Linked DNA regions of Lepisosteus oculatus. The protein of the gene in region 1 interacts with the protein of each later gene in a biochemical or structural test. Links are inferred from orthologs where the notes say so. Each region holds a gene or a part of one and is shown in the gene's direction. Other genes may lie near its edges.

Region 1 (8,007 bases):
CGGGCTCTGAGAGGCTCTGAGTGTGCTTCACAATGCCCCAGACAGCTCTCAGAGTCGGAATTGCTGGCACCCCACAGCAGAAGAGGCAGGTCATCAACTCTTTAAATGCTTCCTAATGACCTCTTCACTCCTGCCTGGAGCTGTGAAACGCAGTCTCATTAAAACACCAACGCGCCCACTGACAGCACTGTTTTGAACGTTAGGGACATTCAGCTCTGAAGGTACCCCGACGCTCTGTTTAATGACAATGATCTCTGATTGAACTTGAACAGAGAGGGATTCCTGCTGGAAAAGAAATCAGCTTGGCATCACAAGATACTAAAAATCCCAGGCAGAACTGTGGAGGGTGCAGTCGGTAGGTAGGTACAGTAGGTCCCTTTTCAGGCCTTCAAGGCCCTTGGGGAATGGGTGGCAAGGGCCACCATTTTTCTTTGACCACTGGAGGTGGAGGTGAGGTGGTCAGCATCACACTCTGGCCGGCCTGTCACCCCCAGAAGGATTAACCCCCAGTACTCACTTGGAAAGCAGGCTGAGTGGACCTGGGAGTCATCTGGAAGGAATCAGAGCAAGCTCTATCACTTGCCCCTACCTGGGATTGAACACAGGTACCCACCTTCCGGACAGGAGCTAGACACCCTTGCCATCTCAGCTACCACAGCTCCCCTGACTCTGTATTCTCTCTGTTTTCTGTTTGCCCTGTTTTTACTGCAGAGGGCAGGGCATCATCTGATGTAGCGCAGCTGTGATGTAAGTTGACGTGAGTGTGGCTGTGATGTCATTGATGTAGCGCAGCTGTGATGTAAGTTGACGTGAGTGTGGCTGTGATGTCATTGATGTAGCACAGCTGTGATGTAAGTTGACGTGAGTGTGGCTGTGATGTCATTGATGTAGCGCAGCTGTGATGTAAGTTGACGTGAGTGTGGCTGTGATGTCATTGATGTAGCGCAGCTGTGATGTAAGTTGACGTGAGTGTGGCTGTGATGTCATTAATGTAGCGCAGCTGTGATGTACTGTAAGTTGATGTGAGTGCAGCAGTGATGTAATTAATGTAATTGATGTTCAATAGCATCTGGCATTTAGAACAGTATTTCTGAATCTCTCTCTATATCCACAGGCAAGGTCTTGCAAACCTTGATTTAAACTGCAAACTGAATGTTATCTTGTGTCACTCATTACAAGAACCCGTTAGCCAATGTGCTATAGCACAGATAAATCAGATGATTTATAGATGAAAACTTAGAATTCAACCATCTGCTAATGTCATAGACGTGCATATAAGACAGAAAAACATTATTTTGTTTTCCCAAACCCCAGACCACATTGCTGTATTTGCGACTAGTAGTGAAATGTGTATCTGGTAAATTTTCGCAGTAGCCTCTTGTAGAGTCAAACGCTGCCACCAAGTGGTGAAATACTGGAACTGCGCGACGGCCGAGCCGGGCTTATTCAGACGCGCCAATTCATATGGAATGGAATTAACAATGTTTTAGAAAAAAGTCCCATGTGGAGGAGGAATGGGAATAAAGAAAGGAAATAGCAACAGCTAACAATTCCAAGAGAAAGTATTAGTAAATATATCCTTTTAATTTGAAAACCTGCGTCCTCCAATCATCATACGTTTTTTTACGTTCCAGTGTGCAAGCGCTTGTTGAGTGTGACATCTGGAAAGGTGGCGAATCCTAGGACACGCAGAATCCCTGATCGGAGCCTTGGGAAGCAGCAGGCTCTCTCCGGGCTCAGAGGGCGGTACGCCAGGCCCACTTCCTGCTTCGCCAGCCCGGGTGCCAGGCAGGCACACCTGCCCTCCAGATCGGTTTCAACACGGCACAGCTCAGCCAGATAATAATAATAATAATAACAATAATAACTGCTTACACTTATATAGCGCTTTTCTGGACACTCCACTCAAAGCTCTTTACAGGTAATGGGGATCCCCTCCACCACCACCAGTGTGCAGCCCCACCTGGATGATGCACCAGTCCTCTCCCCACACACCAGCTCTCAGTGGGGAGGAGAGCAGAGTGATGAAGCCAGTTCAGAGATGGGGATTATTAGGAGACCATGATTGATAAAGGCCAATGGGAAATTTGGCCAGGACACCAGGGTAACACCCCTACTCTTTTCGAGAAACGCCCTGGGATTTTTAATGACCACAGAGAGTCAGGACCTCGGTTTTACGTCTCATCTGAAGGACGGCGCCTGTTTACAGTATAGTGTCCCCGTCACTATTCTGGGGCATTAGGACCCACATGAGCCGCAGAGTGAGCACCCCCTGCTGGCCCCACTAACACCTCTTCCAGCAGCAACCTTAGTTTTTCCCAGGAGTCTCCCCTCCAGGTACTGACCAGGCTCACACCTGCTGAGCTTCATTGGGTTGCCAGGTGTGAGTTGCAGGGTGATATGGCTCCTGGCCATATAAAACTATGCCCCCTGCTGCTGAAGGTACGAACCACAGACACCCAGAGCTTGAACCAGACAGTTCTCCCGGGACAGAGCCACCGAACACAAGACGGGACCCAAACAAGAGGGGGGCCTGACCTGTCCAGCCGTTTCCTGAAAGAAGTCAGGCTGGCACCTGGATCCAGACCTTTCCTGACCTGCGGCTTCTTGCTGTCTCTGCCTGGCGAAAGGCCTCCACTCACCTCTGTTCAAACATGAGCGCCAACTTCCCTGCAGCGCTGCCATCGACACAGCCGGTCTCCGGCACATACCCGCTTAAAAAAGGACGTTTTCCGATGCATTCCGATTAGCCCTTTTCCCCCCGCAGCGATTTGTTAATGTGATATTAAAATGAGACCGACACGCTCCAATACAAAACACACTTCTGTGACACAGCACCTCAACGACTGGAGGGATCCTGTCTTTCAGAACCTCACCGGCCCTCCTGGATGGACAGATGTTTCGAACGTCCGAGTGTCCAGCCTGTCAGCAAAACATCCTCATTGCTGTTACTGTCTATGACACCGGCAGGCCCTTTCTTCCTGCCCTTAACGCCGCGACGGGAGGAATTGACCGGCTGCTAAAATAAATCATTTGACCCGCCAAACGTGCGCCCACGTAAGAACCGAACTTGGCAGCTTTCCCAGGAAATGCTCGTCCCGAGCAGGACGCCTTTCTGACACGAGTCGGAAAACTTCCTGCATGATCTCCCCCCCCCCCCGCCCCCCAGCGATCCAGCGAGGAGAGAGCGGAGAGCCGAATCCGCAGTGCCTCCCCCCCCCCACCACCCAGAGACAGCAGACATCTGATAGTACACAGAGAGGTGCTGGCAGACCAAGACTCCCCTCAGTCACAGACTCTGCAGGACCCACTCACCATCTCACCAGCTCCCATCGCGCCTCTGACGGCGGCTTCTTCGCTGCCATCTCTCTCCGCTGCGGCGCCCGGGAGAGTGCCCTCAGATGGCCCTGCCTGTCTCCAGCTCGGCTGCGGGCAGCGGAGAGGGAGGGAGTGTGCGCTGAGACCAGTGGGAGGGGGGGTGGGTGTGGAGTGATGCTGCAGATTCCCACAGTCAGCGCTTCAGCACTGAACCCAGTGCCAGAGCAGCAGCTGGCACAGTCGGCATCCTCACCAGCCGGGCGGGAAGAAGAGGGTCCCAAGAGGGTCCCCAGGGCCCAAGACAGACCCAGGCCAGCGGCACAGCTACAGTGAGCCCTGGTTCGTGGGCTAGACGCCACAGTCGGGACCCTCCTGAAGCTGTAAGGACTCTCAACATGCTCCAGCCCGCACACAACTGCTCAGCGTCCTGCGTGAGCAGCTCCTGAGGCCTACAGAGGGACCCTATGATCCAGGCGCTGCTGGTTCGAGGCTGGGCCTACGACATGAGCCAGGGAGCGGCTGAGGGACAGCGAGCAGGGTGGGGGTCACAGGGGGCGCCTGGCCGAGAGTCGCCCCTCGAGTCAGCGCTCGGCCCCCGGGAGCAAGGTGAGCTGGACACTCATCGCCTGCTCTGACTGCACCCCCCCGAATGAGAGAGCCAGCTCCCCGAATCTGTCCCTGACTTGGAAGCCTCTGCAGCTCATTGAGGGAGCAGTCTCTTCTCAGGCAGCCCCCCTCTTGACAAACACCGCACTCACCCGCAGAACATGGCACTGAACGAGCTCAGTTCACTGCCTCCACTGTGTCATTAATCATAATAATAATAATGGTAATAGCACCCCCAGGTAATGGGGATCCCCTCCACCACCACCAGTGTGCGGCCCCACCTGGATGATGCACCAGTACTCTCCCAACACACCAGCTCTCAGTGGGGAGGAGAGCAGAGTGATGAAGCCAGTTCAGAGATGGGGATTATTAGGAGGCTGTGATTGGTAAGGGTCAGGGGGAAATTAGGCCAGGAGTCTGGGGTAACACCCCTACTCTTTTCGAGAAACGCCCTGGGATTCATTCAAACGACAACACCTTTTTTCCGCAGTATAGCGTCCCTGTCACTATACTGGGGCATCAGGACCCACACAGACCGCAGGGTGAGCGCCCCCTGCTGGCCACACTAACGCCTCTTCCAGCAGAAACCTTAGTTTTTCCCAGGAGGTCTCCCATCCAGGCACTGACCAGGCTCACACCTGCGTATCCTCAGTGGGGTGACAGCTGTGAGTTGCAGGGCGATAGTATGGCTGCTGGCATTATTCACAAGCAATCCTTTATATAAAAAATTGATAAAGAAATAAGCTCATTTTAGATTCATGTTGCACAGTAAATAAAATGGTCTATAACTTTTCAGATTGCATGAGCTTAACATGAGCAAAGCTTTGAGAGAAGAGTAAGTCTATTTTATTGTGAATGACCAGCGGTTCTGCTTGTGATTCTCTTTCGAAACAAGAGCAAGATGGAAATGTTTCAAAATAATACTTCAGAGGTTATTTTCTAGGGATAATAAGGAAAATTGTATGCACAGACAGTCACTTGAGAGATTCTAGGCTGACATGCTAGACTCAGCCTCTTACTGTTAACAGGAAATCAGTTTGTGAGCGTTTCAGCCTGCTGAAATATTCAGTGGTTTCAGTTTCTGTTCCAGAGAAGTGAAAGAGAAACAGTCGAGCTGTGCAGACATGGAGGAGCACACGGGGGACAGCAGGCTCTGCAGGAACTGGTGAGATCCACTGACTTCTCAACACTTTGACACCGTCTCACAGCTGCAGGCCAGGCCGAGACGCCTGCGTGGGGCCAGGTCTCTCTTGGAGCGGTCAGGAGTTCAGGGGAGGGGCTGGGGAGACGCTGCTGGAGGCGAGGCAGTGTTGGAGAGGGGCGAAGGCTCTGTGAGAAGGCATCGCTCTGGGCTCAGTGGAGAGAACAAGCTTCGCTCTCCGGTGTGGGGGGCGAGCTGGCGCTCGTCTCTCAGCGCTGGGAGACAAAACTGGATCTGAGTGCGGGGGGGTCGAGTCGGGTCGGGGGGGGAGCCTAGGATTGGGAAAGTTTTCATCTTGCTCCACTCTGTAACAGTAACAGAATCGGCAACCTGACGTACAGACAGCTCCCAGTACCGAAGCTTCGAGTTCGGGAAAGCTCAGGAGCAGCTGGCTGGGGGAGGTTTATACAGTTTTAGGAGCACCTATTGAAAAACAAGTGTTATGGAGTACAGAATGGCAAAATTCCTGTTTCCCTGTGGCAGTCAAAGAGGGAATGATCTTCCGAGAGTGCACGATTTGGCAGCGCTAGGGGAACGAGAGCTCTATTGCACTCCTGCTCCCCTGTCAGAGTTTCAGCTGTGAGTGAAAATGTAAGAGCTGCTTACAGAGTGTGTCTTGGGTGGGGCGCACAGTGCATGCTGTGCTCCACTGGTGCATGAAAAGTCTCTGGACAGAAAGAAATGATTGTGCTCTCAGCCGCAGGCCACCTTGTGCAGGATGCAGGGCCTGACACAGATGCTTGTATAGAAGGCCAAAATTGATATCAGGGACTGGCAGAGCCAGGAGAAAAGGGAACAACTACGTCAATATGAAATCTGTTTTGGTGCTGCCAATCCATTAGCAAAAGCATATTCTGCGTGTGATGGGTCTATGGTGATAAGGAACTCTGTGCTCAGTAACCAGTTGTCAGACTTTTTAACCCCTTCACCACCCCACCCCCTCTCTCCTCTGCCCCCTTGGTCCTGTGCAGTAAGAAGGAGGTGGCCGTGTCTAACTTCGCCCTGCACGAGTCCCACTGCAAGCGCTTCCTGTGCGTGTGCCCATTCTGCGATGAGCCAGTGCCCAGGGAGCAGATGGACCAACATCGGGACACCGAGCACAAGCAGGTCAGAGAAGGGGAGGCTGCAAAACCTGCACCGCACACCAGGGGGCAGTCAAATCACCACTGAAGGCTATAATAATAATAATAATAAGAATAATTGCTTACACTTATATAGCGCTTTTCTGGACACTCCACTCAAAGCGCTTTACAGGTAATGGGGATCCCCTCCACCACCACCAATGTGCAGCATCCACCTGGATGATGCGACGGCAGCCATAGTGTGCCAGAACGCTCACCACACATCAGCTATCAGTGGGGAGGAGAGCAGAGTAATGTAGTCAATTCATAGAAGGGGATTATTAGGAGGCCATGATTGGTAAGGGCCAATGGGAAATTTGGCCAGGACACCGGGGTTACACCCCTACTCTTTTCAAGAAGCGCCCTGGGATTTTTAATGACCACAGAGAGTCAGGACCTCGGTTTTACGTCTCATCCGAAGGACGGCGCCTGTTTACAGTATAGTGTCCCCATCACTATACTGGGGCATTAGGACCCACATGGACCACAGGGTGAGCGCCCCCTGCTGGCCCCACTAACACCTCTTCCAGCAGCAACCTTAGTTTTTCCCAGGAGGTCTCCCATCCAGGTACTGACCAGGCTCACACCTGCTTAGCTTCAGTGGGTTGCTAGTTGTGAGTTGCAGGGTGATATGGCTGCTATAAACCTGCACATGTGCTGTAACAGGTGTCCCCTCCTGGACTGACATGATATATATATATACACTCTTCCAACCTCCACATATCAAAACACATCAATACATATAAATATCTAAAATACACATCTTAAATATTAAATACACATAACACATGAATATTTAATCACATGTTAAATGAAATGTTAAGGCAACAATCTTCAGTTCAGGAATTTAAGGTTGAAATAGTTTAGAGAGGAAAATAAGTTTGCAGGCTCCACAGGTCTGAGTAGCATTTAGCTAGTGTCTACAGACTCACCAACTGGAACTGCAGAGCAGGAGGATTCAGGGCCCGAATCCTAGCTCGGTTACACATACCCTCTACAGCTGTGACCCACTGCGTGGAGTCACTGGGATGGTGCTCTATACTGAGCAGCAGCTTCAGCTGACAAGATTCCTACAGATACCTATATCCTGGCACTGTAGCCAGAGGACAGCGTGTAGGTAACTCTCTACAACAGCACCCATCAGTCTTGTACAATACAGTATATTCACTGCAGAACAAGAGCCCGATGAGGCATTCCTGTGCAAGGCTGTTTTGCGTGCCTTTCAGGAGGGCCTGGGGCAGCCCAGCCCTTGTCCGAGTGGGTGTTCAGTTTCTGTCCCACTGTGGGAGAGCTCTGACAGGTGCCAGTGAGGCGCCCATCAGAGGGGCACTTCTCTGCTGCCATGCGGTTTGCTGTGAGCCCAGGAGCAAGCAATCAGACTGGCGCATCAGCTTGGCCAAACCAACACACACTAGAAGCTCAGGACAGAAGTGAAAGCAGGATGTATTGTTCCATCCGGCTTGCGCTTCCTGTTATGTCATTCGCGCCACGCCCCCCGGAGGACTCATCGCGCTCAATCAACTCCCTCACATTCCAGTGCAGTCTCTAATTAAATAATCAGACACACCCTCTCCCACCTGTCTACTTAAACCAGCCTGACACACCACGCTTGTTAATGTGTGTCTCTAGTTTTACAGATTCTGACCTTGGCTTGCTTACTGTGTCTACCAGAACATTTCCGTTCAGAGGATAGGGTCCTTAGACACGAGATCATTACACTGCCCAGTTCAACTCCTAGTGAGCTTCCTCGCGGCTATTTTC
Region 2 (7,700 bases), on another chromosome or scaffold:
ATAATTTCTTCACAGATAGTTTTACTTTGCTAACCTGAATATGCATTCAATTTCGTTTTAGATAAGATACTGTTTGAAACCTACAATTCATGCATGCACATTTTGTAACCGCTTTAAACCATCTAAATGGTTTTAAACAATTTCAATTGCTCAAAACATCTAAAAATCTGGCTTTAAAGCTATAAAGCCTTGATCTTGATCTTAATTTTATTAAGCAAATTTGCTTCAGTGAAACTTTTTCTACTATGTATTTGATTTGTTCTACAATTCCATGATCTAACCACAGCTGTCCAACCTGATCTCATTAAGCTAGAATAAAAACAAGCAAGAGACTGACAGTTGCTAACTTTGGGGTTCAATGATGATTTGTAGGTTTCTAAATGGCTTCATCCAGAAATGAAGCCTGAACTATATAACAGAAAACTAGAAAAGCATCACTATCCGTTCACTCGCCATGCTGCTGGGCACCTTGTCTTCTGGCATCACGTACCTTAATGCTGCGGAACTCTTTTTTCCAGGGGTACAGCAGCAGGTTGGTACAGATGGTCTCCAGGGTGGCAAAAGCCGTCTCTAAGGCCTGCAGGCTGGAGCTCCTCAGGGTGCGTAGGGCGTTTTCCGCCACCTCATAGAACCGAACGAGCCGGAACCGCTGAGCTGGATCCACTTGGTAGACACTGAGTAGAGCCGTGGCAGCCGCATGGAGCCCAGTCTCAACCGCCACCTGCTGCCCATCGCCTCCTTCCTCCAGTCTGGACTCCAGGCACTGCACATACCTCTTGAACAGGTCCTCTCGCAGCTTGGGATCCATTTGGAGCAGCAGGCTGGGTCACTGCCTGACTCGCATAATCACCCCCTGCTTCAAAGACTCTCCAAGACAGCTGGGAGAAGGCCTGCTCAGACACGCTGCTGCGTCACAAGTTGCATGGTAGCCACATTTCTTCTGTTCAGCAGGAGATGCTGCACCTTGAATTTCCCATGGGGATCTTGGACTTGGAACGTCCCGGGCTGTTTCACTCATGAATAAGCAGTGAAACGGGAAGCGGAGTGCACGTTCACATTGTGTGAAGCAGGTTATCTGAATCCAGAAATCCAAGCTCCGGAGGCTATGCCAAGTAAACCCCGTCTTCAGTGCAAAGTATGGGAATAACAGGCCGCTGAGGGATGACCGACCAGGCTAACCATCCGCACGATTCCCCGGGCTGCAAGACAGAAGAAAAACATGCCTAAAGAAACTACTTAAAGAGATTTTTTTTATTAATGTAACAGCCAGTTAGGATTCAATCAACATGTCAGGTTCTGCCTGATCTCAAGCACATTTTACTCAGCTGCTATAAACTGCTTGACTATACATGAAAGTACTGATTTATTTACAAGCAAGCATTCCCTGCACACTGTTGAATACACACACTGGTAACGGCAAGGATGGACACATTTCGGCTAGTATTTTTGTTTATAGAATATCTTGAACACACATTTTTTCAAGGGTTCCACCGCAGCAATATTAAAAAAAAAAAACCCAACACCTGGGATTAATGCAGATCTGCAACATGTCCGCCTTTCACACTGAGAATTTGTTACTGGCAGAAACTCTGTAATGGAGGAGGCAAATCTAAATGGTTCCGCAGGTGTGAAAGTGTGTGTACACTGTGTAAATCAAGCCTAGATAAGAGCCCACGACAACACATTTTCTGGAAAGTACTGTAAATCTTAGAATAGGTCAGCGACATTACAGAGCAAGGAAAAATCTTACAAAGATTTTATAGAGGCACATTTTGTAAACGTTGGCAGATACAGAACAACAATTACAGGACAGGAAAAACATGGAACTTGTTTTTTTGTTGAAAGACTCATGGCTTTTTAAATCTGCTGTTTCCAGATTTTGTGGATTTAAAATACACCTCATAGAGGTGTTCCTGATGAGCACTGTTACTGAAAACATGAAGTGGTATAATAAAGTTAAAACTTTTAATCTTTTTCAGATAAAAAGTCCATTGGTACCATTGTATTAAAGCACAATGTATTTATAACCATCTCCTTAAGCATAAAGTGTTTTTCACTTTTCTAACTATAAACCCCCTGATGTCACCTTAAGTGCTAGAATAATTTACAAAAGCCATCACAATATTTTGAATCCCAAGGAACATATTGTCTTTAAAACATAAACACATAACCAATGTGCAAATATCTCCTGCTTCTTTTAAGACATGCACAACAAACCTCAAACTACAACTGATGTCAATGTTTCAGGATGCATCCCAGTACTATAGCGAGCAAGGCAGAAATCGTTTGAATGACTGCGAGCATCACATCAGCCACTACGGCTGTTTTTTGCTAACGTTTAGTGCTGTATCCTTGCACATAACAAAACGGGGCTTTGCGGGATGAATTTGAAAGGGCAATCCGAGAAACATCCACAAAAGGTCAGTAAGGGTTGTGTGATACCTACTGTGATGCTCCAGGTTTCACTCCAACTGGGCTGCCCACTGCCAGGGCTGGGTAAGCTAAGGACCCTTGTCCATAAAAAGACCGTTCACATTGAAATTCTTCAAAAAGGGGACCTCTGCTGTTTCGGACTCCCTGCACATTCTTAAGTCCAAAAAAAGCAAAGGATTGTGTGCAGGACCTGGAGGCTGGTCGCAATACGTGCATCGCCTCTCCACCACACAACGTGTAGGCGTCGGAGACGCCTTCTGTAAAGGCCACGGGCGGAAGAACTGAGCATTTCCCTCGTGTCAGACTTTACTAGGGCTGTATAAGGCTCCACACTAATCATGTCCTTTGCATGGGTGTTTGATTCCAAATATCTAGTTTCTACGCGTGAATTTTCAAAATTTACTTCAGCCTCGCTTATTGGTTGAAACAGTCCAAACCTTTACTAGAAAATTTGGGGTGTATGAAACTAGCCTATCGCCTTAACAATCAAGCAGATACGATTCTGCAATTGCAGGCTGTCGCTGTTTAACTGGATCGGTTTCAGGGAGCCGAGATAATTATCTGAGCCCATCAACCTGGCACATTTTATTAATATTTTTAGGCCGTTGAAAATCTCATCCAAGATGTGCGATACTGCGTGTGTGTGTGTGTGGAAATGTCTCCAATTCTGGCGAGCGTCAGTGGATGTGCATGCAATCCGTCCACGGAGCGAGTACACACCCCCAGCCCACTGAATCGCGGATATGACTTTCTCACTCGCCCAACGAGCGGAGCACAGTAACGCTAAAAAATGCAGAAAAATTCATAGCTAACAGATGTAAAACGAAACATCTTGGGGGAGAAAAACGTCACCTTTAGATAATTCCCGAACACGAAAAAAAAATCTGATTTATTTTATACATGTTTTTTTCTATTCAAGGAAGCCAATAAGACTGGTTCCGGTTTTCCACTACACGCACACCCTCTTCCTTACTGTCGTCTAGAATGATGACGCCTGACCCATCAAACATCATTTTTACACGGAGGCAAAGATCATTTCTTGACTTGTCAGTTACTCGGACTCGGCCCCCATCAACAGAGTGGTTACAGCCGCCTCAGTGAATCTACATACACAGATTATAAAACAACGCCTTGAAACCCTAATGCGTACAACCAGCAACCAGTCCCTGCGCCCGCATGGGCAGAACTGCGTTTTGGCAGTCACAAGTCAAACAGACGCACTGAGAAATGCTTCATTTTAAACCAGCCGAGCTGTTTTTAAAAGACGCCACCATACTCTCCCCACTCCTTACCTTCGCATTCTGCTGGAAATCCCCACCGTCTCTCTGCGCATGCGTTACGTAGCTTACGCCACTCCACGTGCGCGTGAACTCAAAACCAGGCGCCGGGTATGCGCGCTATACAGAACAACTTTCTAAATAAAATGTTTATATACACCCCGACAAGGGTCGCGGCAACCCGGGATCTATCACAGAAAAAGAGGTCTGCTTCCTCTGGTCCCCAACCCGGATCCCGAGATTAGAATATCCTTCATCCCTCAAAGCATAGTGTTTCATTATAAACATTACCTGGTATTGAGCATTTGCTTAAAAAGAGTGCCTAATCTTTAAATAACAGGTACTTTTGGCTGATCTATATGAATAATTGGATTGGGTCTTTCCAGGACCAGGGCTGAAGACCCCTGATTTAGAGACAGTAGTTAACCCAGCCAAGGAAACCCACAAAGACATTGAACATTCAAACTCCACAGAGACAGAAACCTACAGTAGGTCATAAATGTGTGATTCCCAATGGAAGGAAACCACACTTAGTTACTGTATCTCCACACCATGATGCCTCCCAAACATTTATCAATTAAGATAAAAACAGAACGTTAACATTTTAGGAAGCATTGAGCATGCATGTTCAAAGTGATATTAACTTTCAAAAGCCGTCAATGAGAGTTTCAGGGAAACTGTCTTATATATACAGTATCTAGATGTTGAGAATTTCCCTAGAACAGAAGTACTGGCTGACGGTTTTGAGTTTAAAAGGCCATCCATAAAAAAAATGAAAATTCTAAATAAGATCATGTGTTCTCCTTAAGATATACAGTAATTACTCCTGCAGTATCTCCTTGAAAACAACTATTTTCATGAAATGGCAAAATATGTATATGCCCAGAAATGAACCTTAATCGAGGTGTTAACCCTGGCCAGGTATGGTCAAGAGCTACAATTTCCGCTTTGTCTTCACTTCGCCCATGTCCTAGGCAGCCGCTATGTAGTTTGCTGTATTCGCCCCTCCTACAGCAGGTTCAGAGCTGACGCGATATTCGTGGCATCTTACACGGAAAAGACAGGAACAGGAGCGGCTGTGCGAGAAATGGCGATGTTTGGGGGCTTAGATACTGTTCTTAAGAAGAAAACCACGGAGGATGGCGAGAGAGATATGCCAGAATTCGTGTGCCCAGTGTGTCTAGAGATTTTTGACCGGCCTGTTACAACACAGTGTGGGCATACGTGAGTCTCAATACATGGTCGTTTTTTTAAAAATATTTGTTTATATGGGTGGAGATATATCCACAGCCCATTTTTTTCTGTTTTTAGTTTTAGTTCTGTCATTTGCTTTAGTCTCCTAACCGTGATAATAAAACAGTGCCTGCAAAGTAAATGTATATATACATCTAACATTAGTTTTCATGTTTTGAAACAGGATTCAAAGCTTTAACATGCTCAATTGTCATTTTATTTAGTATTTTCAGGCTGTATGTTAGAATGATGAACGCTTGTACTTTCACTTTTGTTTACATCTAAGGAGTGTGCTGCATTGTGGGATATGTATTTTTTGTAGCGCTGTCAATGGTTTAAATGTTAGGGTGTTGTATTTGCAGTCGGACTACAAATCACAGAAACCCCCGTTACTTTAGGGTAATTTATTTTTAGATTTCGTCCTAAAAGAAAGTGTTTAAGGTTTCTTTTCAGCTTCCAGACAGCTTCATTTTTGTGGCGCGATAAACGCATAAATCGAGTGGTAGTGATTACATACAAAAATGTTGTTAGAATTTTAACTTTTTAAATAAAAATCTTTGGTTTATACAAATGTTCTCAACTTTATAAGTCTCATTTGTTTTTTTTATAGACCATCGCGATTTAACAATTCTCATCGGGCGTTAAAGAGATGTTAGGGTTATTTTTTTAAATTTTACGATGTCTTTAATTTCTGTACATAATTATTTACTTCAAAGCTCGCTCTGTTAACAGTTCCAAACATTTTACACTCGACAGATAACCAGGAATTCGTAATACCTGTGGTGCATGTTTTTCTCACTAATTGCACCCATAAGTGCAGACTCCCAAGTTCCACGTTTTTTTTAGGAATGAAGAAGGCCTTAGTTACAGATATTTCGTAATAGTCAAGTACGAGTATGTAGCTACGGATTCATCTGTTACGAGAAAAAACAAGTGAGTTATAGCTACTGTATCTACAGAAAGCTGGGACATTACTATAGAAACCTTCAAGTATTTGTTGTAAAATTAACAAAAAGGAATATATGAGAGCGTAGGCTACTTGCCCTGTCCCTCACAAATTCAGAGGTCTACTTGTTAGTGCTTACGAATGAGAATAGTCGTTCTCATTATCTAAAAAAAAATGGGTCAAGAAATTAGGACTCTGAAACGGTTACTGTAATGCTATGGGGGGTGTTAACGACGATTCCTGGCTTGTTTTAAACGGAAAAATAACCGTTCATGATTACGTTTTAATTCAAAGAATGATAAGTTCTGAAATGTAACAGACTGCATTTCTTGTATAGGCCTACATTTTTTAATTTTTAGATGTTTCCTTTTGGGAATGAGGAGAAGAAAACTGACCTGACTTTATAATGCCTTCTAATGATATAAAAACCCCATAATCTCCTAGGGGATTAAATCGAAACACAAGGCAACATTGTACCACAGCCACTGCAATGGCTAATATCCACAATTCCCTCTGTTCTGGCACTCACTTGGTTGCTCATAGCGGATCTGGAATCTCTTTGCTAAGTACTCTTGAAAGCCAAATCCAGAACTTTTTTCCCCCCACTGTGACTCAATTAATGCTCAGCTGAGCTTTTTTTATAATAATGCAGGAAGTCATGTGATGAACCAAATATCAGACTAGACGAGCTGGTACCTACAATGCAAGCTTCATGATAAGGTGATTCATGACCATGGGGGAAAAAACACAGCCAACAACAGGGTATCCCCTAATTAATAATGTCATACATTTAAAAAAAAAGTCAGCTGTCTGAAAAAAATAGTTCTGCTCTGCTTTTATAATTGAGTAAAAGGATACATTTATGATTTTTAAACTCACTAGTTGCTTATCCTTTAGGCAAACTGGTATCAGATTGAAATAGAGAGAATGAAGAAGTGCTCTTATACATGCACTGTAAAATAAAAGTATTAGCTGAAGCTTCCAGGGGTAAATTATTGTATTATACCCTTTGCTATCTAAATCAAATTTAACAAGGATATACTGTGATATAGTTTTATTAGGAATTTGTGTCGGCAGAGAGTCGATAAGAGCAAAACTCGGGAATAGACCAGACTGATGTATCTACTTGTTTATGTGCGATTAAAAATGTTTTTTTACACTTGAAATCTGTAGCCCACCCTTTTTTGCATTGCTGATTTTGCCCTGCACATATTGTACTCTGCATATCCAGTTAATGGTATTGCACATTGTGATGTATGATTGTCTATACTATCTATATAAATCTATACTTGGACCGTAATCACTACTGCTCGACACCTGCACTTGTCTGTTCCTGAGCATTATGTTATTTTTGCCAATATACTGCATATGCTGAAGTTGTCATTTACTAGGTTTTTGTTTGCTTTAGTGTGTTATCTGTTTTGTTCGTCCACCTTTTGCCAGTGATTTTAAGCAACTGTGTGACACACTGGATAAGCCCCACCATAAAACCGAGGCTTAAGAAAGGGGTCTGCTTTTTTCCCAAAGGTTCTGCAGCAGCTGCTTGCAGGAATGCCTGCGCCCCCAGAAGCCTGTGTGTGCAGTTTGCCGGACTGCTCTCAGCAAGTGGTCCAATGCTGTAGAACTGGAAGCAATCATTCATAGTTCGCTGGGAGCCTGCAAAGGCTGTCACACAGAGGTGAGCATTGTACTATCCTCTGGTGTTGAGGGAGAGAGGTCATACTGATGAAGGGGTATCGGCAACACTTAGGAACAGTGTATGCTTGATAACATGAGCCATTTTGTATTGATGTGTTTGTTCTGCGCTAAGG

Evidence for each region.
Region 2: the proteins of xaf1 (region 1) and rnf114 form a complex in vitro, tested with the Homo sapiens proteins (2 studies listed by BioGRID). The link is inferred for Lepisosteus oculatus from reciprocal best matches to the Homo sapiens genes XAF1 and RNF114.

The regions. Positions count from the first base shown.
Region 1 is NC_090721.1:10,834,805-10,842,811, reverse strand, and holds the start of xaf1 (XIAP-associated factor 1), read left to right. Parts: upstream 1-4,994; 5' UTR 4,995-5,048; coding exon 5,049-5,089; intron 5,090-6,096; coding exon 6,097-6,232; intron 6,233-8,007. UniProt on the Homo sapiens protein: Seems to function as a negative regulator of members of the IAP (inhibitor of apoptosis protein) family. Inhibits anti-caspase activity of BIRC4. Induces cleavage and inactivation of BIRC4 independent of caspase activation.
Region 2 is NC_090711.1:6,397,685-6,405,384, forward strand, and holds the start of rnf114 (E3 ubiquitin-protein ligase RNF114), read left to right. Parts: upstream 1-4,691; 5' UTR 4,692-4,797; coding exon 4,798-4,934; intron 4,935-7,416; coding exon 7,417-7,567; intron 7,568-7,700. Other genes in the region: spata2 (spermatogenesis-associated protein 2), read right to left, coding at 491-808. UniProt on the Homo sapiens protein: E3 ubiquitin-protein ligase that promotes the ubiquitination of various substrates. In turn, participates in the regulation of many biological processes including cell cycle, apoptosis, osteoclastogenesis as well as innate or adaptive immunity.